7 linked regions of the Mus musculus genome follow. The protein of the gene in region 1 purifies or fractionates together with the protein of each later gene. This does not show direct contact. Links are inferred from orthologs where the notes say so. Each region holds a gene or a part of one and is shown in the gene's direction. Other genes may lie near its edges.

The links.
Region 2: the proteins of Rbm8a (region 1) and Ncbp3 purify together in Homo sapiens (co-immunoprecipitation; 3 studies listed by BioGRID and IntAct, with this or other methods). This does not show direct contact. The link is inferred for Mus musculus from reciprocal best matches to the Homo sapiens genes RBM8A and NCBP3.
Region 3: the proteins of Rbm8a (region 1) and Ddx39b purify together in Homo sapiens (co-immunoprecipitation; 4 studies listed by BioGRID and IntAct, with this or other methods). This does not show direct contact. The link is inferred for Mus musculus from reciprocal best matches to the Homo sapiens genes RBM8A and DDX39B.
Region 4: the proteins of Rbm8a (region 1) and Pym1 purify together in Homo sapiens (co-immunoprecipitation; 11 studies listed by BioGRID and IntAct, counting the BioPlex papers as one, with this or other methods). This does not show direct contact. The link is inferred for Mus musculus from reciprocal best matches to the Homo sapiens genes RBM8A and PYM1.
Region 5: the proteins of Rbm8a (region 1) and Upf2 purify together in Homo sapiens (co-immunoprecipitation; 6 studies listed by BioGRID and IntAct, with this or other methods). This does not show direct contact. The link is inferred for Mus musculus from reciprocal best matches to the Homo sapiens genes RBM8A and UPF2.
Region 6: the proteins of Rbm8a (region 1) and Upf1 purify together in Homo sapiens (co-immunoprecipitation; 7 studies listed by BioGRID and IntAct, with this or other methods). This does not show direct contact. The link is inferred for Mus musculus from reciprocal best matches to the Homo sapiens genes RBM8A and UPF1.
Region 7: the proteins of Rbm8a (region 1) and Upf3a purify together in Homo sapiens (co-immunoprecipitation; 4 studies listed by BioGRID and IntAct, with this or other methods). This does not show direct contact. The link is inferred for Mus musculus from reciprocal best matches to the Homo sapiens genes RBM8A and UPF3A.

Annotation. Positions count from the first base shown.
Region 1 is NC_000069.6:96,628,775-96,632,727, forward strand, and holds the start of Rbm8a (RNA-binding protein 8A), read left to right. Parts: upstream 1-1,153; 5' UTR 1,154-1,187; coding exon 1,188-1,254; intron 1,255-1,527; coding exon 1,528-1,587; intron 1,588-1,702; coding exon 1,703-1,780; intron 1,781-2,091; coding exon 2,092-2,228; intron 2,229-2,657; coding exon 2,658-2,794; intron 2,795-2,914; coding exon 2,915-2,960; 3' UTR 2,961-3,953.
Region 2 is NC_000077.6:73,075,367-73,078,866, forward strand, and holds part of Ncbp3 (nuclear cap-binding protein subunit 3), read left to right. Parts: intron 1-248; coding exon 249-403; intron 404-2,488; coding exon 2,489-2,650; intron 2,651-3,500. UniProt on the Homo sapiens protein: Associates with NCBP1/CBP80 to form an alternative cap-binding complex (CBC) which plays a key role in mRNA export. NCBP3 serves as adapter protein linking the capped RNAs (m7GpppG-capped RNA) to NCBP1/CBP80.
Region 3 is NC_000083.6:35,240,550-35,244,545, forward strand, and holds the start of Ddx39b (spliceosome RNA helicase Ddx39b), read left to right. Parts: upstream 1-1,196; 5' UTR 1,197-1,303; intron 1,304-2,128; exon of another isoform or gene 2,129-2,205; intron 2,206-2,267; exon of another isoform or gene 2,268-2,286; intron 2,287-2,563; 5' UTR 2,564-2,690; coding exon 2,691-2,901; intron 2,902-3,525; exon of another isoform or gene 3,526-3,586; coding exon 3,587-3,714; intron 3,715-3,906; coding exon 3,907-3,996. UniProt on the Homo sapiens protein: Involved in nuclear export of spliced and unspliced mRNA. Component of the TREX complex which is thought to couple mRNA transcription, processing and nuclear export, and specifically associates with spliced mRNA and not with unspliced pre-mRNA.
Region 4 is NC_000076.6:128,747,041-128,751,254, forward strand, and holds the start of Pym1 (partner of Y14 and mago), read left to right. Parts: upstream 1-1,414; 5' UTR 1,415-1,492; coding exon 1,493-1,526; coding exon of another isoform or gene 1,527-1,594; intron 1,595-1,630; exon of another isoform or gene 1,631-1,750; coding exon of another isoform or gene 1,751-1,820; intron 1,821-3,242; coding exon of another isoform or gene 3,243-3,297; intron 3,298-4,214. UniProt on the Homo sapiens protein: Key regulator of the exon junction complex (EJC), a multiprotein complex that associates immediately upstream of the exon-exon junction on mRNAs and serves as a positional landmark for the intron exon structure of genes and directs post-transcriptional processes in the cytoplasm such as mRNA export, nonsense-mediated mRNA decay (NMD) or translation.
Region 5 is NC_000068.7:6,027,969-6,031,468, forward strand, and holds part of Upf2 (regulator of nonsense transcripts 2), read left to right. Parts: intron 1-1,393; coding exon 1,394-1,577; intron 1,578-3,500. UniProt on the Homo sapiens protein: Involved in nonsense-mediated decay (NMD) of mRNAs containing premature stop codons by associating with the nuclear exon junction complex (EJC).
Region 6 is NC_000074.6:70,350,480-70,354,752, reverse strand, and holds the start of Upf1 (regulator of nonsense transcripts 1), read left to right. Parts: upstream 1-1,473; 5' UTR 1,474-1,759; coding exon 1,760-1,975; intron 1,976-4,273. UniProt on the Homo sapiens protein: RNA-dependent helicase required for nonsense-mediated decay (NMD) of aberrant mRNAs containing premature stop codons and modulates the expression level of normal mRNAs.
Region 7 is NC_000074.6:13,792,115-13,795,614, forward strand, and holds part of Upf3a (regulator of nonsense transcripts 3A), read left to right. Parts: coding exon 1-96; intron 97-3,325; coding exon 3,326-3,381; intron 3,382-3,469; coding exon 3,470-3,500. UniProt on the Homo sapiens protein: Involved in nonsense-mediated decay (NMD) of mRNAs containing premature stop codons by associating with the nuclear exon junction complex (EJC) and serving as link between the EJC core and NMD machinery.

The DNA of each region.
Region 1 (3,953 bases):
AACAAAAACAAAAACACCTGAGATGGTTCTTCTCAGTTGTCAGGCTTACTCTCTCTGGAATGAACTACAAATCCAGAAATGAGGGGCACACCTGTGATTTTCTGTTTGGTGGAGTGGGTAGATCCACTTCTAGTCCAGACTTTAGGTAGGAAAGAACACCTCTGAGCTACATCTAGAGGCAGGAAGACACAGGCTTTTCTTTAATCTTTTGTTTGTTTGTTTTGTTTTTGTTTTTGGAGACAGGGTTTCTCTGTGTAGCCCTGGCTGTCCTGGAACTCACTCTGTAGACCAGGCTGACCTCGAACTCAGAAAGCTGCCTGCCTCTGCCTCCCAAGTGCTGGGATTAAAGCGGGCAGGCACACCTTTAACCTGGGCCACACCTTTTGCTGAAGCCTATATAAAAACATGGATGAAGGAAACTTTTGCACTTTGCCTTGCTCATAAGTCCGTTTCTTCACCGGCACTGGAGCCTACTTTTTCTGGATTCTAGACCAGCTGAGACATCCAGCCTTGTGGAACTAAGCAAATACTAGATTCTTCGACTTTCTGGACACATCTAGTTATTCTCCAATTAGCTGGACTGCAGCCCGTAAGTCATTTCAATAAACCCATATATGTAGATATGTATCAAAGGATTTCTTGCTAGTTGAAAGTTTTATGAGAAAGTCACTGACTTCACTCACCCTTTAAATTTGCCCCAACGCGGCTGCGCTCCGGACCTTCAATCTACCTGATCAACTTGGCTGTAGAACTTCCGAAACCACTTTATTTTACTTTTTATGTTTTTGAGAAAGGGTCTCATTCTGTAGCCTTGGAGCCCGGCGTGGTAGCACAGGCTTTTAATCCCAGCAGCATGTGGAAGGGGAATATAGTTGGATATCTGTAACTTCGAGCCCAGCTAGGGCTATATAGAGAGACCCTGCCTCAAAAGAAAAGAAAACAAAACACAATCACAAACCATGTAGCCTACGGCCTCATACTCGCAGAGCTCCATCGGGGTCCCAGAGTGCTGGACGTTTCTAGCGCTTCATAGTGGGGCCGCCTACATTGGCGAATTTTCACCGCGCCGAGGGCGGGACTTGGAGGCAACCTTTAATTGGTCAGCCTAACTCGTGACGTTTTTCTTCTGCGACAGCTTCCCGAGGTGCTTAGCTTCTAGAGACTCAGAAAGCGCCGAGAGAAGCAAGATGGCGGACGTGCTGGATCTTCACGAGGCGGGGGGCGAAGATTTCGCCATGGATGAGGATGGGGACGGTGAGGAGAGTGGAGGCGACTGCGGGAAGAGGGGAAGGTGCGAGAGGGGAATGCAGTAGAAATTTTCCTGGGACGTCACCCCACGAACTGGGTCTGAAAAGATAGACTCCTCCCCCTTGGGAAAGGAATTAGGGGCGGAACTGGGAAGGGACTGAAGCTGGAGTCTGTGTCGAAGCTTCCAGATAGTCTAGGAAACGCGACAGGTTTTTTTTGTTTTTTTTTTCAAATGACTCTTATTTTTGTTGCTTCTTATTTTCTCACCTGGAACTCTAGAAAGCATCCACAAACTAAAAGAAAAAGCAAAGAAACGGAAGGGCCGCGGCTTTGGCTCCGGTGAGTGTGGGGAATAGGGTAGAGTGGTCTAAGAGGCAGAAGCCCGCGAATTTGGGAGTGTGAGGGGGACACATTTGGAGGACAGTTTTCGGTGATCTGGTATGAATTCTTTTAGAAGAGGGGTCCCGAGCGCGGATGCGGGAGGATTACGACAGTGTGGAGCAGGACGGCGATGAACCTGGACCACAGCGCTGTAAGTAAATAGGACCTATGGGGAGTCTGTGTGCACTGGCACTCAAATGCAAAGTAAAGAGTTGTTTAACCAGTCTCAGAAAATTGCTTATTGTAGGTTCTTTTCAGAATTTTTCTTTTTTAGTTTGTTTGGTTTTGGGTTTTTTTGTTGTTGTTGTTTTGGATACAGGGTTTCTCTGTTAAGCCCTGGCTGTCCTGAAACTCTTTTTGTAGACCAGGTTGGCCTCAAACTCACAAATCTGCCTGCCTCTGCCTCCTGAATACTGGGCTTTTTAGCTTACATGTTCATACAACACTTTCCCTACCCAACAGCTGTTGAAGGTTGGATTCTCTTTGTCACTGGAGTCCACGAAGAAGCCACTGAAGAAGATATCCATGACAAATTCGCTGAATATGGGGAAATAAAAAATATTCACCTTAATTTGGACAGGCGCACGGGATACTTGAAGGTAGATTTTCTTGCTTCCCTCACTTACAACTCTTAGATACATTGATTATGTTGTTTTTGTGAGTTGATCAAGCACAGGTAGGAAGTGAAATGACATTGGAAATTGATTTTGTTACCCACATGAAAGAGACAGAAACAGAATGAGCATGTTTGTGTATATAATGGGGATATGTGGTGTATAGCTGCGAAATTTTTCTTGTAACTATGCATTTCTGGTTTAAGGAAAAGAGTACTTGGTTGGTGAAGTAAAATTCTGATACTTTTTGTTGTTTGTTTGTTTGTCTTGAGACAGGGTTTCTCTGTATAACAGAGCCCTAGCTGTCCTGGGCTCACTTTGTAGACTAGGCTGGACTCTGCCTCTCTAATGCTGGAATTAAAAGTGTGTGTGTGACGCCTGGCTAAGCTTTGATACTTTTATATGCTCCCCTAGGGGTATACTCTAGTTGAATATGAAACATACAAAGAGGCTCAGGCTGCCATGGAAGGACTAAATGGTCAAGATTTGATGGGGCAGCCAATCAGTGTGGACTGGTGTTTTGTTCGTGGACCACCAAAGGGCAAGAGGAGGTAAGATGAAGGGATGGGGGTTGTACATTTATTTATCTTAGTAAAGGGAACATGAGCAAGATAAATAAGGATTCAGTATTAGATCTCTGATATTCCCCTTCTGTTTTTTCATTTTCTTAGAGGAGGCCGAAGACGAAGCAGGAGTCCAGACCGGAGACGCCGTTGATAAATCCTCTGTCGACTGGGTGGTCTCTCTACAAGTCCATTTGGTTATGCTGCCTTGGATAAACAGGGCTAGGGCGGACCTTGTGTTTATATTTAATTTCTTACCCTATCTACTTGGCATTGCTTTTGAGTTTTAGAAAAAAATAAATGTTCCATTTTGTTTTCTATGTTTATTACTTTACTGTTCTGGAAACTGAACAACTACAGTGGGGCATTGTGAATGATTGTGAAGATCCTTCTGTCTGGCGTGGCATTCTAAGTTTCTAGAAAGGCTCATGGAGACTGTTCAGCATTTCTTTGTCTTAGAAGATAAGGGTAGGGATAATGAGATTTTTCTTGTGGAATTAAGGAATGTATTTTGCATAACTCTTGTGAGCAGATGTTATATTAGTGTCTCTTGCTTCTCTGTCAGAGCCTGTGCAGCTGGCCTTGAACTTCAGGGGCTTTGTGATGCTTAGCCTACTCTATGTTGAATATGGTGCTGAACTGTGAAGTTTATTAGTTCTTACAATGTAAAAGAAACCCAGCTTGATGGGCTGGAGAGATGGCTCAGTAGTTAAGGGCACTGACTGTCCTTCCAGAGGTCCTGAGTTCAATTCCCAGCACCCACATGGTGGCTCACCATGGGATCCCATGCCCTCTGAAGATAGCTACAACATACTCATATAAATAATTTTTTTTTTTAAGAAAAAAAACCCAGCTTGGGTACTATGTAACAATATGCACACCTTTAATCCCAGCACTTGGGAAGCAGGTGGATCTTTTGGTTTAAGGCCAACCTGGTCTACAGGAGAGTTTTAGGATAGCCAGGGCTGCACAGAGAGATCCTGTCTCAAGAAAAAAAGACATTGCTATCCCTTTATCATAGGGTTTTGGTTGTTTTTTTTTTTGGGGGGGGGTTTTGTTTTTTTTTTTAATTTTTCTGAGACAGGGTTTCTCTGTGTAGCCCTGACTGTCTCCCCTGTGCCTCCCAGGTGCTAGGATTAAAGGCGTG
Region 2 (3,500 bases), on another chromosome or scaffold:
TCAGTTATGTGTTCTATGATAAAGTGTACAGGCATCATGTGGAAACCACCCTGTCTAAGTCTGCAGTCTAGTTAATGGTCACCATCTTTTCATAGCATGTTGATCGTAGTGAGCTATTACAGTGGTAGTTGTAAGTCAGTGACGGTCATCTTAAACTGAGTTTTTCTGAAGTAGGAGACTTTTTTGCATCTTTCCTCGCAGTTGAAGTTGGTTACTTATGATCTCTCTGCTTTTTCCCCCCCTTAAAGGAATCCCATGAGGGCAGATAGTATATCCACAAGCAATATAAAAAACCGAATTGGTAACAAATTGCCTCCTGAGAAATTTGCAGATGTCCGTCATCTCTTAGATGAAAAGAGGCAGCATTCCTGTCCACGGCCAGCAGTCAGCAGTACTAAACCAGGTATTGTTCTTCCCTCTTTTGTGCTCCTGACTCCCTTTTTGTAAGCCCCTTGAGTGGCTTGGTTCCATCCCAGATTACTCTAACGTTTCCAGCCCCTCAGTATGCAAGTGGCCAAGCTCTCTGCCCTGTAGAGGAAAGAAAAAGTCCAAGATCTGGCAGCAAAATCCCACAAATCCCAGGCCACCCTGGAAAGTATCCCACCACTACCACCAAGGAAACCTATATAAAGTCTGGGTCCTGCTCAGTTCTTTGCTCTCAAGCAGAGGTAGCCACCCTCCTGTATCCTTCCCAATAAATGTATGGTGAGAGATTTGTTGTGCAGGGTGACTTTGTGGTATTCATTGGCTTCTAACTGCCACTATACTTTCCCCTCAGAGTTAATCCTGATGCTTGTGAGCACCTGAGAGCAGATGGGCCCAGGGTAGGTTCTTCTGAACTCAATTAACTGTTCCTCTTCTTGTACCTACATCTTTAGTTAGGCGTCCATGAGAAAATAAATAAAGTCGGATTTTGCAACAAAACTACTTTTCAGTATTTTTTGTTTGAAATAATAAATAAATACTAAATAATAATAAATAAGTAATATTACTTCCCTGGGATATTTTATACCCCAAACCAATAAAGTTGGGTGGTTAGAAACATGGTTGAGTGTGAACTAGAGTGTATATGTGAGCAAACCCTAATGAAGCAATATAAGCGTGTGCTTATGGCTAGGGCTGGCATGTGCAAGTCTTTGGGGAGGCTGCAACAGCTGCCACAGAGCTGCTGAGACGATTCGAGCCGGTTTTTGAAGAAAGCAGCTTTAGAGTGTAGTCTTGGGAGGACTAGGACACAGCTGACAAACTATCTTTGGAGGGAGGAAATAATATGATTCTTATTTTAAGAGGTGATTTTGAAGGATTAGAATATAGTGGGCATAGAAGACAAAGTAAAAAGGGCTAAACTTTTTAGGGACAATGACGTCAGAAGGGGTGAGAATGGAACCCTGGGAAGGAGGAGGATGGAAGAGAAGCAACTGAAGAGGCTCAGCCTGAGCTCTTGTGAGGAGTTTACTTGAGAAGTCAAGAGTAGGCTCAAGGCTGATGAACATGTGGCTGCTGTCGCTGCTGCGTGTTAGGGGAAACCTCAGGCCCAGCGGCTCTGTGACGGACTTGGAAGAGAGCACACTTAATTTAGGACACAGCTCCTTTATCCTTGGCCTGTTGCCAGTCTCATTACACTTGTTGGTTAAATGTAGTAAGTTTATTGAGAACTACTTGTGTTTTCAAGGATTGTGGCTTGCAGTATTGTTAGCTGGAAAATGTGATGTGTTACTTAGTTTTGCTTGATTCTGGCAAAAAAGAAAAAAAGAAGAAAAAGAAGAAGACTGCTTCAGGCACTCAGCTGGTAGCCCCTACATCCAAGTTTTAAGTTTTCTTAAGAGAAGCAAGACCAGTTATGAACAGAACCAACCGGCTTCTAGAAGCCTTCTGATGCTGGGTGCTGTGCCTTCACTATGGGAGATTTGGGATCAGGTCTCTAGAGAGCTGTACTGATTAGTTTGTTTGGTTGGTGCCTCTGCCTCTTGAGGTCTGGGATTAAAGACATTTACCATCACCATCTGGTGGCTGGCCAGACTTTTTTTTTTTTTAATCAGCTTAAGAGTTATGGAGGAGGGAACCTTAACTGAGAAAATGCCCCTGCCGGATTAGTTTGTAGAGAAGCCTATGGTGCATTTTCCTGATTGCCGATTACTGTGGGAGGGAGGGCTCAGACACTGTGGGCAGTACCTCCCCTGCACTGTTGGTCCAGGAATAAGGAAGCGGGCTGAGCAAATTCGAGAAGCAAGCCAGTAAGCGGCACTCCTCTGTGGCTGTGCATCAGCTCCTGCCTCCAGGTTCCTGCTCTGTGAGCTTCTGCCCTCACTGCTTTTGATGAGTTGTTATATAGAGAGTGAGTGAAATAAACCTTTCCTCCCCAGGTTGCTTTTGATCGTGGTATTTTGTCACAGCAGTGGCAGCCATGGCTAAGACAAAAGCCTAGTTCATTGGTACTGAGGTAAAACACGTATGCTTGGTAACAGGTATACTTTTTCTCTTTTGGCAGATATTCGCCAGCGGTTAGGAAAAAGACCGTATTCTCCAGAGAAGGCTTTTAGTAGTAACCAGGTGGTTCGGAGAGAGCCCTCTTCAGATGTACATAGTAGGCTAGGTGTTCCCAGGCAAGATGTTAAAGGCCTCTACTCTGATACTCGGGAGAGGAAATCAGGTGAGTAACACTTCACAGTGATGGAAGGGAAGGAGTGGAGACCAGTGGTTATAGCATAAGAAGTAGGTAGGTCTGTGTTTGTTCCCTCTTCAGTTAGCATGACTTCCTTTGTCTACATCAGCATCAGCACCATGCCTACAGGAAAGTTCAGGAAGGAGAAAGGAGAAGCTATACATCCTTGCTGCTTTTTAGTTTCACATTATTTAGTTTCTTTGTTCACACATATATCTAGTTTTTTTTTATGTAGCCTTTTTTTCTATAACTCTTCCATTTTGCTTTACTCTTCATAAGTAAATTAAACCTTTAATTATCTTGTAGTATATGTATATCACCACATTCTAAACACATGCTTCTTTGTAAGGTTTTAATAAAACACTTCTTTTGGGGGATTTTTTTTATGTTTTGCTTACATGTTTGTCTGTGTACTGTGTACATGTCTGGTGCCCTTGGAGGTGGGAAGAGGGCATTGGATCCCCTGGAAGTGGAGTTATGGACTGTTGTAAGGTACCATGTGGGTGTTGGAAACATAACCAGGTCCTCTGCAAGAACAAGTACGCTTAACCAATAAGGCCTTCAGCCAATACATAAACACACTTTAAAAATGTATAGCTGAAAACCTGAGAATTGCTCATAGTAAAACAGACCCGTTCAGTTTGCAGAATGTGAGAGTTGGCGGTTTCTTGGCAGACTGAGGGGTACACAGCCTGGGAGAGAGGCAAGTGTCTAGTTTGTGCCTGGTATGGGGACACCAGCCTTGAGCTGTGAGCATCTCCCATCGAGTCTCAGGCTGTCCACTTACAGACTGGCACCAAGCACCTCTCCCGATGTTTCCTGCAGAGCAGGTGTTGGC
Region 3 (3,996 bases), on another chromosome or scaffold:
AGGGTGGAACTTCCCATAGTCCAGTAGCAGGAAGATGTGTTATCACTGATGCCAAAGGGACAATATTATGATTGGTGCAAACACAAGTCTTCATTTGCACGAGTTTGCTGTTTGCTGTGTTTGGTGCAAACACCCTTTGCTGGCTGTAAAGCAGAAAGTTTGGCTCACTTGGGTCAGCTGGGACAAACCTTACTATGCTACCCTCCACAATGTCACATTAGGTCCAGTAACAGGAAGACAGTGGCTAAGAGCCCGCCAACTAGGTCACTAGGAGAGTTCCTGGAAACGCTTCAAAGCTAAAGGCCCAGGTACCGCACTTTCTGGAGCTACAGTTCGTAATAAGTTACCAGGGCCGAGGAATTCCCACTCCTCTCTGATTTATACAAAACCCGCCGGCCTGCTGCTTAGGGCTGCCAAATGCGGAGGGATCAAAAGCTACCAAGCCCCAGCCCAGAGAGCTTATGCGTTGAGCAGGACACAGCCAGCTGGTTGGCAACACTGATACTTAGTGTTACTTTGTATTAATATTAAGTGTCCTTAATAGGGAAAGCCCGAGCTTGTGTTTATGTAGCAAGGCAACAGGACAACACTTCTGCTATATGTAACATCTCAAAGGGAATACCACATGGGGGGAGGGGGATGTCCAGGCTGAATAATGGAACTGAGATTATTCTGCTGCTCTAGTTAGCAAGAATTATGGAAAGGTGCATAACCTCAAACCCCACCATTTATTTAGCACCTAGACAGAATGTAAGCCTCCATCTTTCGATATAATTTTGGGTAAATCCTGCCTATTCTCTGCACGACTGTAATGGGCGTGGTCACGTGTCCCCCTCCCCTCCAGCAGAGGCCCGAGTTAGCCGCTCTCGGGTCACCTTGACTACGAGGCTAAGGACCCCGTGAGAAACGCTTCTCATTCGATCGCGGAGTCCTCCATGCCCACAGAGAGGTGCCCAGGGAGAAGCCTGGCGTGGCAAACAAAACTAAAGTAGAGCCGACCGTCGGAGGGTGTTGCATAAGCGTAGAAGAACAAAATGGAGAGCTCTGCGGGGGAAGACGTGAGTTTCCTGTCGCGCTCTTGCTACTGGCGACCGGAGGAGGCGTCGTCTGAAGCTTCATTTCAAGTGGGCGTTCTGCAAAGCCAGCCGCGGAGCGCGCGCGGCGAAAGCCTGCTTCCGGCTCCTTGCGCGTGCGCCCTGGCGGCCGGGAAGGCGGGAGGCCGGGGCGAGCCTGGAACCGGAAGTGAAGGCAGCTTCCCGCCTCCGTCCCCGTTGCTGCCGCCATACACGCTCGCAGTGCTTAGGTAAGCTTTGGCCCTGTGCACCATCCACCGCCATCTGCTTCTCCCGCGGCTCGCCCCGCCGCGCGGGTCCCTGATACCCGGTGCCGGGCCGGCGCCGTGGCCGCCGGCGCGCAGGCGGGCGTCCAGTTCTGTTGTCTTCACCCCTTTCTGAGAGCAGATCTTGGCGGGGAGCTGGGAGACAAGGGGGGAACGATCCAAAATGGTGGCCTCGGCCGCCATTGTGTCTCCGCGCTTCCTGGGTGTTCCAGTGGGTCCTCTGCCCACCCGGGGCCGCGGCGGCCGGAGGCGGCGCCAGGAGGAGGGCGGGGCCCCTCGCATCTCCCCTCCGGGCCTTTTCTTGCTCGCCCAGGGATGGGAAGATCTCGCTCCGGGGCCCGTCCAGCCCTTTGACCCCGCTTTCGCTGCCTTATTTGGAGCTCTCTGTGAATGGCTGCCTCTGTGCGTGGCCGATGGTGTCGCGCACTTCTGGGGAAGCTTTTCCGAGAGCACTGCAAGGCGTTCCTTTCTAAGGCCACCCGGCTCACACTCTTAATCCTGCATCGTTCTCAGCTGTGACCTTAATTCCTTAGTGCGACTTTTAAAATTAACTTTGGCAGCGCTGAGCCGAACCTTGCGGCCTCTCGCGTTACTAAGCAAGCACTGCCATTGAACTGCACACACCCATCTTTTTCAAAACAAAAAAATTTTTTTTTTCTTGAAATGGAGCCATTCATACACTTCCCACCCTCCGCCCCGCACCACCCTCCTTCCTGCTTCTGTTCCCCGGTCCAGGTGTGCGCCGCTGGGACGGCCACTCGGGGGTTTCTGAGCAAGAGAATAGCGGCAGCCACATGATGTTTGCATTTGGGAAGTGAGCGCTCTGCGCAGTGCTGACCCTTATCTATCACCCTTGACTGATGGCTGACGTTGGGGATCACCACCGTGAGGTGGCAGGAGAAAGCGCAGTCTCTGTCTTCCCTTGTCCTTTGTGTCTCAACCCTCGTGTGAGTCGTTAGTCACGCTCATTTTACTGCGGTCTCCCAGTTGGCTCCTGCCTGTCGAAGTGTGTGTTACAAAGTCTGGTTAGCGGTGGAGCCCACTCTGTCTCTCCCGTCTGGTGTTCCCGTTTCTTATGTCATGAGTCTCTTTGTTAACTCTTCTTTCGGGACAAAGGTTTCACAGTTTAGGGAAGAATAGGACGGGTGTAGGGATCGACGAGAAGTGACGAGTCCATTCGTGACTGATGAGTTTTTCCGGTTTTTTTGTTGTCCCCTCTCCCAGCTCTTCTGTCGGAAACTGGTGTCTTTCCCCTTGCTGTTCTTCAACCCCTCTCTTTGGCCCTTGCTTCCTCACCTGCTCTGGGACACCTAACTCAAGAGACCTCCCTTCTCCCCCTGCCGGCCCAATTATGGCAGAGAACGATGTGGACAATGAGCTCTTGGACTACGAAGACGACGAGGTGGAGACAGCCGCTGGGGCAGATGGGACCGAGGCTCCCGCCAAGAAAGACGTCAAGGGCTCCTACGTCTCCATCCACAGCTCCGGCTTCCGAGATTTTCTACTCAAGCCAGAGCTGCTCCGGGCCATCGTTGACTGTGGCTTTGAGCATCCATCAGAGGGTACATTTTATTGTTGGGTGTAGAGACCTTATTTAGCACCTCTGGTGCAAGAAAAGGGAGGTTCAAGTCTAGGGTCATAGGATTTGAATTTATTTGGGATAGGCCAAGCTCTGAGAATGTACCCAAGACGGCAGCTGTAGAAGAGGCTTTTGTTCTCCGTTAAACAGAGGGCTGCCATTTGTTCTGTGCCTGGCTTTTTTGCTTGGTTTTTGTCTTTCTGACTGTTCGGACTCCCAGAGAGGGCCTGGTTGGACCTTTAGTTCCCTTCTTTTGGGCCAGGCCAAGTGTCGTTTCCGGAAACCTTAACGATCAGGATGCTGGCTTCTGTGGCTTCTGGGTCAGGTACCAAGTCCTTCATTTTGTTCAAGGTTGCAGGGTTACATGACCCAAAAGCACAGCAACCTATGTAGGAGAAATGGCCTGTGGCAGTCGAATTCATAGATTGTTGCGGTGTAAGAAAAGTAAGTTTAGCCAGGAACGTGGAAGGTGAGCTGTTGGTAGCTTCACGAGGGTTCTTTCTTAGCGGAACTGGGGAGCTGGGGTAGGAGGGTTTGACTTGAGTGTAAGAGTGATGAGGGTCAGGGAAAGGATGGGGTCTGAAAGGTGACAAGGTGACATATGATGAGTCGGCTGGGGAGAAAGGGGTTTGGCACGGTGCAAAAATGTCTCTCCTTTCTCCTCCTAGTCCAGCATGAGTGCATCCCGCAGGCCATTCTGGGGATGGATGTCCTGTGCCAGGCCAAGTCAGGCATGGGAAAAACAGCAGTGTTTGTCCTGGCCACACTGCAGCAGCTGGAGCCCGTTACTGGGCAGGTATGTTGGGGGCAGTGCTGGAGAGGGTGTGGAGATTGAATCACCAGGAGGCCGTTTCTGGCTCCATGTGTTCTCAGCTGGTGTCCTCTGCAGTTCAAGGGGAATGTTCGCCAACATCACTGACAAGTTGCTGGATGCTCTTGTGACGAGGGGCTGACTTTACTGTGTCTGTCTCCATTTGCTCCCTCAAAGGTGTCTGTGCTGGTGATGTGTCACACTAGGGAGCTGGCTTTTCAGATCAGCAAGGAATATGAGCGCTTCTCTAAGTACATGCCGAATGTC
Region 4 (4,214 bases), on another chromosome or scaffold:
CGAAAAAAAAAAAAAAAAGAAAAGAAAAGAAAGAAGTATACACGTGTAAAAACATGTAGTGCATGCAAATAGCATTAAAGTCATTTTGAGACTTGAATTGAAAGGAGAGAGGTTAAAGCTGGGAGAATTGCAAGGAGGACAATGTGTGAGCTTTTGAAAACTTAGTTGAGGTTCTTATTAGCCTGTTTTGTTTCTTTTTTTTTTTTTTTTTTTTCCTTTTGGTTTTTTTTTTTTTTTTTTTTTTTGGTTTTTCGAGACAGGGTTTCTCTGTGTAGTCCTGGCTGTCCTGGAACTCACTCTGTAGACCAGACTGGCCTCGAACTCAGAAATCCTCCTCCCTCTGCCTCCACTGGGATTAAAGGCGTGCGCCACCACTGCTCGGTTGTTTTGTTTTAAAGTAGAACATATTGTCTACTACTGAAGTACTAATATTTCCCCACTTCTCAATTTGAGAGGCACTGTTGGACGTTAGTGTAAGCCAAAGTTGGGCAATAGAAGAGGGTGAAAGAGTTAAGGAAAAAGCTTTGTAGGAGGAGGGCAGACACCTGAGGAGAGGAGCTTGAGCCAGCACCTTCCTGACAGAAGAGGAAACAAGTTTAACAGGATTTAGCCCCAGAGGAACTAAATTGCTGATGGAGGAGGGGAGGGACCGGACCGGGCTTTGGCGCTCCTTCCAAGAACAAGGCACAACCTAACAAAGGGAGTGGCCTCACTGTCCCGGTAGATTTAAGGGTGGAACTGCTCGCGGTAGCCAAAGCTAATCCGAAGTGTGGGGCGCGGCTAATTAGAATACTGACTGGGTCCGCCCCAAAAGCCTTCACCCCGTGCCCTCTGACCCGAGAGGATCCAGTACTGAGCAGCAGGCCAAGAAGTTACCTCGCCGGCCGCTGAATCCCCAGGGCTGCCCGCCCCAGTTCAGTCATGGAAACCGCCAGCACCCCCGAGGCCACGGGGACAGGTGACCGACTCGCAGTGCGCCGATCTTTGCGCACCCCTTCGTAGGTCTCTGATCAGTTAACCTGGGCGGCCGAGAGTGGTCGGCGTGCCGAGTAGACCTGCCCACTTTTAAGTGTTAGCCCGGGTTTTCGTGTATCCCTGGGGCTTCTTTGCCCATGCCAACACGCGCCCTAGGGTTTGGTGCAGGCGAGGGGCCTTGCATATTCCTTTCCTCTTTTACCAGCTTTCCTGCTGGGTCCCGGTGGGCCTTGAGCCTGCGAGGACTGTCTGGGATAAGGCTTATGCCCAAACTTCTCTCCGAGCCCTAGGGATTGTTTTATATACATCAGGAGGTCAACAGTGGCGTCGGTGGTAGTCTAAGAGCCCATGACTGTGAGCGTCTTACACTCGCCTTTTCCGCCTCCCGCGTCAGAGAAATGGTGCAGTCTCTCTTTAAGATTAAAATGGTGGCTTGCTAGGATGAGGACTCCACTTCCGGCGGGGAGGGGGGCGGGACCCCAGCCCGCTCACGCCGGAAGTGGTTCGGGTTCTCAAGATGGCGACTCCCTATGTAACTGACGAGACCGGCGGTGAGTGCGGGGATCGCGGAGCCGCCTCTCCCGGGATTCTTGGGTTAGGGGTTCGGACTTGGAAAAGGGTTTGTGCCACGCCCATCCCGGGGCTCCTCCTTTGCCACGCCCCCGTACCGCCTTCCCCATTCATTCCTTTTGGGTTGTTACCTGCGCCCCCTTCTGGTCTCGTGTTTTTTGGGGGGGGTCTCTGCTTCCGGTCTCCCAAACCCTGGGGTCCTCCAATGTCCCCTGCTCCGGGACCCTTAGGCGCTTCAGCTCTTTCTAGCTGTTGGAGTCCCGTACCTTTGCAAGGTTCTCCAGCATTATGGGCTCCTGTGCTCAGTTCCCTCCAATTCCAACCCCCTTTCTCCCTCCCCCATTTCTTACTGTTGTACCTGCTCTCTACCCTTCCCTGTTTTCATTCTTTCTCTCCGGGCTGTGTCTGCTGATGATCTCATTGCTACATAGTGCTTTCTTCTTCACTCTTTGCCCCATCTTCATTGGGTGGGGGTGGGGGTGGGTGTCACTGAAATCCAGACGTGTGAAGGGAAGAGGAATTTAACTTTCAACTTGACTTTTCTCCTTGGTGGAGTTTTCCATTTAAAGTGGGAGAAAACAAACAGGAAAGTATCTACTGGCCTTTCTCTCAACGTCTTTGATAATTGATAGAACCCCATGATTTCTTAAAGGTTGAGTAGCACTTCAGTCGAGCTGTCTGAAATGTTGGAAGTCAGCTGTTTGTGTGTGAAGCTGAGAATCGGTTTTATGTTTTTGTCTTGTTTGTAGTTGCCTTGTCTTTAGGATAATGTGCAATATTGACTTCGAGATGATCAAATAGATATTTGGAAGACGTAGTGCAAGTACCCGGTGACTGTTTTTGTAGCCTTCATCTTGGTCTTCATATGTGACTAGGGTTTTGTAGAAGTGATCCTGTGATTGTGCGGTAATGCACGGTGTGTTTTAAAATGTGCCATTTATGCTTCTTGGTTTGCTTTAAATGTTCCTTATTAAAATTAAAAGCATGAGCCACTGTGCCCAACCTTTAAAAAGCAACTTTCATCTTTAACACTCCAATCCCCAGATGTGATCTCACTATGTGGCCCTGGCTGGCCTAGAGCTCACTGTGTAGACCAGGCTGGCCTTGAACTCATAGAGATCCACTTACCTCTGCTTCCCAAGTTGTGGGATTAAAGGCGTCTAATACCATGACAGGCAGTTTGCAGCTTTTAATGTGTACCTTCTTATTCTTTTTATATTCCATCTGGCCCCTGCCCTGCTATAGAGATAGTTTCTGTTCTTTGTGGCTCTGTAGAAGAGGAAAATAAGCTGTTCTTTTGCCTCTCTGCTTTTCAAATGCAATTTTAGCAAAACGGCAGTGTTCCTATCTACTGCCCACAGATTATGTTTTTTTGTTTGTTTTTTTAAAAGACTTATTTTGTGTGTGTGAATGTTTTGCCTGTGTGTATGTCTGTGCGTCATTTGTGTGGTTGGAGACCACAGAAGTCAGAAGAGCTATTAGATCTGAGGCTGGAGTTTGAGCTGTAGGCCACTATGTCGGTGCTGGGAATCAGACCCCCAAGTCCTCGGTCCACTGCAGTAGCCACTCTTAACCTCTGAGCCAACTCTCTAGCCCTTTTGTTTTTATTTTTGTTATTCTGTCTGTAGCAGCTTGGGAATGCTCTGAACCCCCTCGTTCCTGAGCACGAGATCATTGACGTACCTTTGTATTTTCAGCTACACCTCAGGATTACTACAACCTGGACTTCATCTGTGACACATTTCCTTTCAGGTATTCCCCTTCGCTTTAGCCTCCTTACCAGTCGCCATTTGACAGTCTCAAATCCACAGAGGCAGCTTTTTGCCCTCTTTAGGTTTTCTGGTTGTGTGTGTGGGTGTGGGTGTGGGTGTGAATGCGTGTACTTGTCTGTGTGCACGTGCATGCATGTGGAGGCCAGATGTTGATGTCAGGTGTCTTCCTTGACCACCCCACTTCACCACCACCACCACCTTATATCTGACAGGATCTTTCACCTTAACCCAGAGTTTGGTGACTCAGCTAGTCTAGATAGTCAGGGTGCTCCTGGGATCCTGTCTCTGTCTCCCAAGTGCTGGGATTGTAGGCATGCCACCAGCCCACAGGTGTGAATGTGGATGGATGCTGGTGATCTGAGTACTGGTCTTTATATTAATGTGGCAAGTGTTTTAACTTCTGAGCCATATTAGCCCCCTCTTCTCTCTCTCTTTTTTTTTTTTTTTGTTTTTGTTTTTGGGTTTTTTTGTTGTTTTTGGCTGTTTCAGATAGTCTCTTGCAGTTCAGGCTGGCCTTGAACTCCTGTTCTTCTTGTCCCCGCCTCCTAAGCCACCTGCATTGCAGGTATTTAGTTCAGAACTGCATGTGGCTGTCTTTGTCTTGAATGATATTCATCAACTCTTTTCTTGGCTACTGATTTTAGACTCTAAGAAAAGAAAATCGGAAGTTAGAAGATTCAGTCTCGTGTTAACTTCTGTCAATATTACAGCTTTTTGCCAATTCCTGCTTCCTGGAAGCCTAAATTCTTTTATGACTATTTTACAAGACTCTATCATTAGCCCTTTAATTCCTCCTTTTGTGGCAAATACCCTTACTTTATATTTCATTGGAAAATTAGGGCCTGTCATTTCTGTTTTCTTAGCCTCAGCCAGGTGTCTGTCACTCTCCTCCCTCCC
Region 5 (3,500 bases), on another chromosome or scaffold:
TCCGATGTATCTAGTTATTCATCTGTTTACTTACCTACCTTAGAGAAATAATAGTTTACATAAACATTTCTAACATAGGAAGTAAATGTATTTATTTGTTAACTCTTTGGTTGTGCTTTTCATATTTTTATTTATTCCATAATTTGTGATTTAGAATAAGTATGAGGTAAATTAAATTCAGTACAAATACAGGGATAATCATACAATTTCTGTAAGGTTTCTAGGTTGCTTATATGTTCCTCAATCATTATTTCCTGTAAAATACAACATAGTAAGTACTGATTAGAAAGGGCAGCTTGTCATCAAGTGCTTAAGATGCTGCCAAGTAAAATATCAATAGTATCTGATTTTACACAACCACAGTTATTACAGTTTACCTCTTGAGAAAAGGATAGTTTGGTATTATAACTTGAGGCATCAGAAATGCATTCACGTAGTAGCTGGGGTTAAAGTAGGAGTATATAATGTTGGGGAATGTCATTTTAACTTTTTTATACTTCTATACATACTGCCTTATCTTACAAGTTTATGAACAAGAAATGAAGAAAGGAGTTTGCAGGTTTGAAGGTCAAAGTCCCTGTTATATGTAAGACTTGCTTAAATTGGAGATGTCTATATTAAATACCTGAGTTTTGCTCCAAAGAATATTAATATCTAAAGTAGAATTTCTTATTTGATGCCTGCTATTCCAGCCTCAGAGAAAAAGAGTCTCTGCGAAATACTTAGGACCAAAGATCAACAAAGGTGTTTTCCAAATTAATTTGACAGAAATATGTGGCAGAGATAGTAAATGTTCATAATTTATTTATATATTTTTTTCAAAAAGTTTTATCTTTGTCAGGCTTATCTTTGTCAGGTGTGGTGGTGCATGCTTTTAGTCTCAGCACTCAGGAGGAAGAGGCAGACAGATCTCTGTGAGTTCCAGGATAACCAGGGCTACACAGAAATATCTTGTCTCCAAAAAAAGGGATTGGGTTCATCCTTAAATACTTTAATAGAACTTTTTCCAAAAAAAAAAAGAAGCAGGTAACATAAACTAAGGCATCAAATCTACTTTTATAAAGTTAAATGTGTCAGCTCTGTTTGTGGTAACCCTAAAATGTGTTTGACATTTTGTTTATACTTTTTTCATGTCTTCTTTTTTTTTTTAACCTATGACAGCAGAATAAAAAAATCTTTAGACTAAACTCAACAACTGGTTCAAAAATTATATAAATAGGAGAAAATATTTGAATTAGAATCATTGCTGTTGTCCATTAATAAAAATTAAAGGTTTCTTGTTCAACCTTTTAACTTAGTTATTATAACTAGGTAATACCACAGTACAACGTACTATTTTAAATTTTTGTTATTAATTTCTTATAGCTAAATTTATTTTTTTATTTATTATCAGCGTTATGTTTGGTGGAAGAAAAGTTTGGAGGTTTGGACAAAAGACCATCCATTTCCTATTGATATAGATTACATGATCAGTGATACACTAGAACTGCTAAGACCAAAGATCAAACTCTGTAATTCTCTGGAAGAATCCATCAGGCAGGTACAAGACTTGGAACGAGAATTCTTAATAAAACTAGGTAAGCAATTTATTACAGAGAGAAAATGAAGGGGATTTGGTCAGATTATCTCTAGAATCTGTTTTCTAATGTTTCCAGTCAGAGTTTTCAGTGTGCATACTTTGTATCTTTGATGTTGAGTACTGCATAGTAGTTTTAGATGTGACCTGGTTGGTTTCACCAAGTGATCTCTAATTGAAATAAACGATCAAGCCGGACTTAAAGCAAGAGATAGTGAAGGAAAAATGCAGTCGTGTCAACTGCTCTCTCTTACTTTTAGACCCTGGTTTCTGAGCAAATGTTTGGATGAAAATGTCTCCTATTTCCAGCTGGTACTATTCCTGAAAACACACAGACTTTGAAGTAGAGAGGGAGTACTTGTTAGAAATGTGGAACAACTACCAATTTTAAGGTCTCATTCATTAGTGGAGTTGGCTCTTTTTCTGGGTCTAGAGAAAATGTGCTGCTAGAGGACTCTATGTACAATGTTCTTTAGCTTTCTGAGGTGCTTCTAGAAGACTTAACCTTTGAATGTCGCCCCTGTGGAATATAGTAGTTTACTAGCTTGGTCAACAGGTAACAAATACAAAGTCTAGTCATACCAACCTAGTCAGTCTGCTTTATTGTAGTATTTTCATAATCATTATCTTCTCAGAGTTATTTCATTTCTCATTAGCACTTGGTGTGTTCATATGTATCCTTACTGTCAGCTACACTTAGAGTATTGCTTTGTTACGTTGCTTGTCTGAAGAACCAGTCTGAAGTGAAGGTATAAGTGACAGTCCCCTCCCTACCCCAGGTATCCAGAATATTGATGATATGCTTGCCACCTCCAGGGTAAATCTGAGTTGGGGACTATGCTTGTGTTTGCCTGATTGTTCCAATCTCTGCACTCAGTGTGCACGTAGTGCTGTGTTCTCTGCTCACTTCACAAAGACCGAGGGTGAATTAGGGCTTTTCAGCCTTGACCCAGGTTACCCAGTTTCTTTTTCTTTTCAGATTTCTAATTGAATAAAGCATTTCACACAAAGCATTATCTCCTTCTTTGTATCTTCTGAAATTGTTAAGATGTACCCTAGGGCCCAGAAATTTTCATAAATGGTACAACTGTGTATAGGGGCATAAGGAAGAAGAAACAAGATTGCTTTGTCTTGTTGTAAATTAAAGGGTTAAAAGACATTGAACTATCTATGAGGAACATGAAGAAAGAAAAACGAGTCACCGTTATGGCTTGAAACTATAAAGATGGTAGCACTTAAAATCAGTCTCCATCCTCCTGGCTTTAGAAGTTAAATAAAAGGAAGGGGCTGTATGCATAGTGTGTGTTCTACGTAACCCTCCTGTTGATGAACCACAGCACCATGCTTTGTTTGCCATTGTCGCAAGCACCTGGGAACTTTTCATTTTAATTTTATAGCATCCAATGCAAGGTGAAGCTAGTGGGAAGTACTAAAATTAACTTTTAATGTCTTAAACCATTTACAGTGTTAACATAGATGATGCTTATGGCAGTAATTCTGAGAAATAGAAAGAAAACCACCTGTAGTGCAGTTAGAAAGACTGGTATGTTAATATGACTTATGATAGTTGTTTTTTAACTTTTCATGTTTTTGCAGTTTTGTAACTGGACTTTTTAAAAGTCTTTGGGGTTTTTGTTTGTTTGTTTGTTTTAAGATTGTATTCTTTTGTTTGACTGTACCATACTTAATTCTGTTGTTTGACTCTTAGGATTTTTTTTCAGGTTTACACCATTTTATTGCTTTTTAAAGTGATTTTCATACCTTTTGGTAGACAGAATATACAGAATATACAGGTTAAGACTTTTTTAAAAGCCAAAATGACTCAGTTTTTGTTTGGAGGTTCCAGCTAATACTGTGAAGAGCAGAAATGAGAGTAAATATATTCTAAAGCCGAAGAGTATATTTCTTAAATTTTAAACAAAGC
Region 6 (4,273 bases), on another chromosome or scaffold:
GGTTGCAGCGAACTGGGCTAACTAATCCTTGGCCTGATGGAACATTTACTTATCTGTTTTTGTTTGTTTCATTGTGTTTTTTAGCCAAGTTCTAATATACCTCAGGCTGGCCTCAAACTTGCTATACAACTTAGGATGACCTTGAATCCTTGCTCTGTCTCCATCTCCAGAGTCCTGGGAGACTGCGCCTCTACACTCAGCATCTGTTTTTGTGTGTTTTGAGATGATGTAATGTTGGGTGTCCTGAACTTCGCTCTGTAGACAAGGCTGGCCTCAGAGTTACAGAGATCTCCCTGCCTTCGACTCCTGAGTGCTTGGATTTTAAGGAGTGTCCTTACTGGGAGATCCACCCAAGCAGAGGCAGCCACCCTCCTGGGTTTTTCCCTCGCAATAAATCTCGTGTTAGGTTTGTTGTGTGCTGTGACTTTGTTCTATTTCTTGGCTCCCAATTGCCAGGATCTTTTGGAGCACAGCTGAAACACTTTGGGGAACCACCTCCACCCCTCCCCCTGCCCAAGCAGAGCAGATACACTTCTGTGGGGGGAATGCCTTTCCCTTCAGAGCTGCAACACTTACACTTCCTCCACTGAAGAGTGGGAAGGAAACCCAGGGAGGAGTGTTTCTCTAAGTCTCGCAGCTGGCTGTGGATGCTCATCAGTTGGTAGCTTCTGCCTAGCACACAAGAGCCCTTAGTTCCGTGGTCAACATTGCATGTACACCTGTCACCCCACCACCAGGCACTTTGAGGCAGGAGGATTCCCCCGAATTCCAAACCAACCATGGTTACAGTGTGAGACCCTCAATCAAAACCAAAACAGGCCGGAGAAATGGCTCAGAGTTGTGCACCCAGCGCTTACAAGAGGAGCTCACATCCATTCATAACTAGTTCTAGGGGACCTGACCCCTTCTCAGCGATTCCCAGGCTAGCTCGGACCAGTGCGACTTGATCGCAAGACAAAAGAAGCATTTATCTTCACAGGCTTCAGGAGTGCTCGGGGTAGCAGTGACTACCATTTGGCAGAGTCCCCGCTCCCTACTCATTTATTCAATCGATGAATACTGAGAATGGCCACGAGCCAAGTGACAGACGGGGTAACTAAGGTTCAAGGAGTGCAGGTGCGTGGTCCCCGTGCCACAGGCTCCACACCCAAAACCTTCTGGAGAGAGCCTCAATCAGCACCTAACGAACATCCAGCCCTGAAGCCCGGAGGTGAGGACGTCGCATGCGCGCATGCGCACCGCTAGGCAGCAGTTGGGGCGGGGCCAAGTTCGCGAGCCCAGGTCCTTTAGGCGGTTGAAGGCCCGCCTCTTCGCGCAGGCGCACGGCGAGTTCCGCCCTCCCGCTTAGCTCCCAGTGCTCCGGTGCGGTTGGCTACTTTCCGGGAGGAACGCGCGCGCCTGCGCCGGCGTCGGACTCGCGCACGCGCATCTGTGCCGGCGTCCGGCTCGCGCACGCGCACCGCAGCGGTGGCGGCGACGGCGGTTCCTGTCCAGGGGTCTGAGAGCGGCGGTCGGCTTTGAGGCGAGCAGCGTTACGGAGGGGCGCGGCGGCGGCGGCGGCGGCGGCGGCGGCGGCGGCGGCGGCGGCAACTCAGAGCTCAGAACCGGCGGCCCGGCTCTGCTTTCGGAGGCCGACTCGGAGCCCGCCCGGCTCTCAGGGCGGCGGCAGCGGCTACTCCGGATTACGGCCTAGGCCTAGCCGAAGCCTCGGGCTCGAGTGCGGTGAGGCGCCCGCTGAAGGCGCGGCCCGGGCGGCAGGATGAGTGTGGAGGCGTACGGCCCCAGCTCGCAAACACTCACCTTCTTGGACACTGAGGAGGCCGAGCTGCTCGGCGCCGACACCCAGGGCTCCGAGTTCGAATTCACCGACTTCACCCTTCCCAGCCAGACGCAGACGCCCCCCGGCGGCCCCGGCGGCGCGGGAGGCCCGGGCGGAGCGGGCGCAGGCGGCGCGGCCGGCCAGCTCGACGCACAAGTGAGTTGAGCGGCGCATGGCGGCGCCGGAAGCCGGGCGGGCGCGGGAGCTGCGGCGCTAGATCCCAGTTAACCAGCCTTGGGCCCCTGTGAACCTGAGCCAGGTCCCAGTTAGACGGCGCTGGTCCGAGCTACCGGCTTCAGGTCCAGTTAACAAGCCTGGGTAACTGCTTCCTGCTCTGGCTCCTTAAACATTAAGTCCCTATTGGCCAGCTCCAGTTACCCACCCTGGATTCTTGTTTAAACTGCCCAGGTACCCGCCACCTGCCCTAGGTCTCTGGTACCTTATTACCAGATCTGGTTCCCGTTACTTGCCCTTTTCCCAGATCTCTGCTTCCACCCTATTCCAACTACCTCTTCCAGGTCTACCTGCCACAGTCATTGCCACCTGACTCAGGTTCCTGCTACCTGCCCTAGTCCTTGCTGCTCTGGCCCACCCAGCTACCTACCATCTTCTCTGATTCCCAGCCTCTTGTCCCAGCTACTTGCCACCTGTCCTTTTTTCCTCCACCCTGCTAGGCTGGGCAGTGACCTGCATTAGTGTCCCTCCTGTAGCGCAGGATCTGCTCGGCTCAAGGCTTAAGCCAGAGCTTCCCTCACTCCCCTCCTAGGTATGTCTAAGGTGACCTGTCCACAGTTGCTATCCTCTGGACGGACCCACATTGCCCTCCAGGGTCACCTGTTTGGCTAGTCCAACCACCCCATCTCACCCTTTTGCCACTTCATCCACCACCCCCTCCAGCCAGGGTTCAAGTTCAAGTTTGGGTTAGGGGTTCCCTGGAGCAGAGCCAGGGTTTTGTCGCCTCAAGTGGAAATAGCCCACTTTGTGGATGGAGAGGTGACTGCCGGTTTGTTTTTCCTTCTGGGTTGCCTGTTGCTGAAACCGGTGTTATGTAACTCCTAGGCTCTGCTTGGAAAAGTTGGGTTTGAATTTTGTTCCTTACCCACAATGGGTACCACATGGGTGACTGTGCCTTGGGGAGGGGCTTTTGTTTTGAATGATAGGCTGCCGATGTAGGCATTTCAGGTTGGGCCAGGGCCAGGCCCCCTCTGCCTCCCCATCAAATGCTCTCCCTCTCTATGGCTGGCTTGGTGTCAGGCACCTCTTGGCTTTGTTTTCCTGTATTCTCTCGGGGAGGGGGGGGAGCTGCAGGCTAGAGCCACAGGTGTTCTTGTAGTCCATCTGTACTTAGGGCTAGGGAGCCACCACCAGTCTTCAGCAGTGATCTCAGACCGCATTCTGGGAGGGCCTTCAAGCTGGCTGGTTGAGTCATGCCTGTGGGTAGACCACCCACTTGGGCTCATTTTCAGCCCGAATAGAAGGAGAGGGCTGACTCAGCTCCTGTTGCGATGCGGATCAGGTGTGCCAGCTTGTTGTTTCTAGCTGTTTACCTTTAGTGTAAGGAGGTGGGGAGAGGGCAGATTGCCTGGAGGAGTGAGGTGGCCCTGCAAGCTAGTCCTCCTGTTAGTCTCCCCACTGGGTAGACCTTCCTTGTTTCCTTTGGGCCTCATGGACCTGGAGAAGGGCTGTGATGGCGCAGTTGGGGAGACGAGTGGAAGTGGCCTGCTTCATCTCAAGGTCTTTTAGCTCTAGCTAATGTGCAGAGCAGACTCAGGCTGTGCGTGTGCTCACATGGGTGTGCCCTGCTCCGCCAGTTGAAATCATAGATTGAGCCATGAGCTGCCACCCACCTGTGGCCTCTCATCACAAGGAAGGGAGGGAGCGCCTTCAATCCTGTATTCGGAGGACCTGCATCTGTGGGGAGAAAGTGAACAGAATTGGAAAGTGGAGAGAAACTCCTTCCTTGCATACCCAGGGCCCTCTGCCACCAAGAAACATTGATTTTCCTTATTTGTCCTTTGAGGTAAATGGGTCACACAGCCTTTGTTCAGGGGGTCCAAGGAGGCTGGACCCCCCACCCAGTAGGTTGAGCTCCTCCTGTTGGCCAATGGAGGTCCTCTCCCAGCTTTATTGAAGCAGGGTCATGGAGCTTGCATTTATCCCTGGAAAGCTGGCAGCACAGTGGCCTTTTGGGCCAACATCATTAATACCAAGTAATATCCTAGCATCCCGAGTCCCTGCACCCTCAGCTTCTCTTCAGCCACCAATAGTCCTGTGGCCTCTGTGGATATAAATGTCCCAGGCCCTTCCTGTGCTGGATAGATAGCATAGTATACTTGTCCTGTGTCTGTTGTGTTTGTGGCTCACTACTTTGAAGTGCAGACCAAACTCGGGGCCCTGTTATTGTTGGGCAGACACTCTGTAGGCTCTGCCTACCTCCTCACTTGCTGTCATGAC
Region 7 (3,500 bases), on another chromosome or scaffold:
AGTTCCTGGAGTCGTACAGCCTGGAGGAGGAGAAGACCAGCGCTAGTCCCGAGACGCTGCTGGGAGAGATAGAAGCCAAGACGAGAGAGCTCCTGGGTCTGTTCTGCTCGTTTGTTTATTGAGATACTTACTGATGGAGTATATGTCCAGTTCTCCTTTTTTCAAGATGAGGGTAAAATTTCTTTCCACTACAGGCTTGATGGAAACAGTATTTTCTACTTTCAACAAAAAAGCGATAGCGCAGGGAAATATTTCCGAGCCTTTCTCAGCGGAGACTCTGCTTCTGGGGTCCTGGCTTAGAATGGCCGTGCTGCCACAGACAGGGGCACGCCCTTGGCTGCTCAGAGAGGACACTTTGTTGCAGCAGAGTGACTGTCTTTGCAGAGCAGCCACAGTGGGCCTTGGGAACCTATAGAGACAAGACATTTGGCTCATATATGAAGCTAGATATCTTCTGAGGAAGCTAACCTGTCAATGCAAGCCCAGCTCGAGTCTAGCATCTGGTTAGAATCCTCATAGAACTTTTTCCTAAAATAGTGTATTTTAGAAATGTTTGTCTCTTCAGAAAACTCACGAGCAGACATGAAACCCCTTAGTTTAGTCTCAGACACCCCTGAATGTCCCATTTCCTGATGGCCTCAGTATTAAACCTCTCCTCTAGGGGCTGAAGAGATGGCTCATAGTTTAAGAGCATTGGTTGATCTTCCAAAGGATCCAGGTTGGATTTCCAACACCCAGATGGCAACATATAGCCATTGCTAACTCCAGTCGCAGGGGATCCAGCGCCCTCTCCTAGCCTTTGTGTATATTACACACGTGATGCACAGACAGGCATGCAGGCCGAATATTCATACACATAACAGAACACACAGCCCTTTTCCCAATGCCTGCCATCCCTTACGTGTCCTGCTCACCTGCCTAGCATCTCACATACAGTTAGTTGGTTTGTTGGTTTCCACATGAATTCCCTTCCCGATTTCCTCCCCCACGTCCACAGTGGATCTATATTTTCCTCTTGTAGTGGCAGAAAAGAGATGTTTAAAATTGAGTATATGGGGAATAAAGAGACCAGAGTCTGGAGCTCTGTAGGAACAGAACGTAAGCTCACGGGATTGGAGAGATGTAAGAAGCCCTGTGCTGAGACCTGACACCTGACTCCGCCCGGGACACACACACACACACACACACACACACACACTCCTCTCATTGCTCTGACCACAGTGCTGGTGAGTGCCAGGGAGAAGCAAGGGTCTGACCGAGAGCTCTGGCTCCGCAGGGAAGGCTGTTGTAATATACTGGGCATGTTTTAGAAGTCAAATATGGACAGAAAGGAGGAGGATGGACTGATTAGTGTGGGGGCTCAGGGGCAGAAAGAACTAAAGACCAGGCTTAAGGTGAGCAAGCGTGTGTTAACTGTGGCTTCCAGGAGTTCCAACTGGACCAGCCTAGGATTAGCTCTGAGACTTGGCACTTCATGGCCTCAGCAAACATCATCACCTTGTTGAGCCTTGTAAACTTTTATGACAGGTAATTAGGAGGGGAGGAGGGATAAGTCAGTGCTACTAAACTTTATCTTGGGGTCCTTTGTTTTCCTAGTCTGATAGCCAAAGTGTCTCTTTAAAATAAATTCATTTCTGCCAGACTGCTTACATCCATGAGCACAGCACCTGCCACGACGCGTGGGCGCCCTGAGCATGCCCACTCTCCCTAAGGCTGAGTCCCGTTTGGTCTCTAGCCAGGTGTCAAAGGTCCTCAGTGCCAACTTGCAGCAATATCCAGGATTCTTCCCAGCCCGTTCACTATGAGGTCTTAAAGGTCTGTCGGGCGGCCCATCCCCACCGTCTCACCGTGTGCTCACATTGGAGGGCTGTGGGGCTGCTCCCTCTGGGGAAACCTGTAGGCCTCTGATACATGTGGGCACCTGACATCCCAAACAGACATGAGAGGTAGGACGTAGGAAAGGTGGCATTCAGGGTAAAATGTGGAAACATACTTCTGATGAGAGAGATGGGTGGTGGATTTTTCTGTTGGTTTGGTTTGGTTTTGAGTCAGCAGTGCCATCTGCAATCATTTCTAAGCTTTAGATTGAATAGCTCTTGCCTGAAATGATTAAGACCAGAAATGTTCTGTTTGGGGCTTTGGAATATTTGTGTGTGTGTGTGTGTGTGTGTGTGTGTGTATAATGCCACACAAGTCTAAATAACAGTTGTGTTTTCTATGTATTTAAACACAGTTAGAAGGCAGGTGTATACCACACGTGCAGTGTGTTTCTGTGCTGACTGACCTATCTCATAAAATTACATCTAGAATTTTCCACTTGTGTTATTACGTCAGTACTCAAAACTTTCCTTGAGGGCATTTCAGACTTTGGACTTTTGAGTTAGGTTGGCGTGCATTAAAGACATTGTAGCATTGGGGCTGGGGAGATGGCACAGTGCTTAGAGGGCTTGTTGATCTGCAGAGGACCTGACCAGTTCCCAGTTCCTAGCTCCTGCACAGCAGCTCACTGCCGTTACTAACTTCAGTTCCAGGGAATCAACAGCCTGTACTGACCACCACAGGCACCAGGCATAAACATACCATACATGCAGATAAAATAAAATAAATCTTAAAAAAAAAACCTCAACAGTGGAAAAGCAAAACGTTCTGAAAATACATGTAGCATCCAAGTCAGTGTGTAAATGTCGCTCTGACTCCTCAGAAGGATAAAAATAAATTAGTAACATCTGAGAAGCTTAAGATCTCACACATACACATGTTTTGCCAAGTATGTGGGCAATGTCTTCTGACCTTTTTTAAGAAAACATGTCATGTGTCTTTTTGTTCACTGTTAAGTTGCCTATGGCTCTGTAAATATCCACATATATGTATTCCTCCCTATAAAGAGCCCTAATTAAACTCACTAGGTCACAAAAACAAAAACAGAAAAGCCCCACAAAGGTAGACGTGAGAGGAAGAGGACTAGTTGGGAAGAGAAAGGTCAGCAGGAGAGAGAGGGCTCATGGGTAGGTCATGGAGTATAAACGTGATCAAAATACATTATACATGTGTATGAAAATGTCATAATGACCCGTTATTATGTATAACTGATATATGCTAATAAAAACTTCAAGAGTGGCGAGAAGTCAGTGTATCAGAATTGCCAGCACCTACAGATTACTTGAATTTGTAACAGAATATGAATGTCCCCAGGTGCGGTGCACACTCACACTTTAGAGATCATATTCTTCCCCTAATTATTTTAATGTTAAGTTGGAAACAAGAACTTAAGAGAAACCTCAGTTTACAAGTTATATGTAATGTATTATAATTTTTTTTTCTTTAGCTAGAAGGACCACCCCTCTTTTGGAATATATTAAAAACAGAAAATTAGAAAAGCAGGTAGGTAACATTTGTACCTGGTGGGCATCCGTCCCGTACCTGTTGTTTCTAACAGGAAACTTACATATGTGTTTGGCTCTACCTTCAGAGACTCCGGGAAGAAAAGCGCGAGGAGCGGA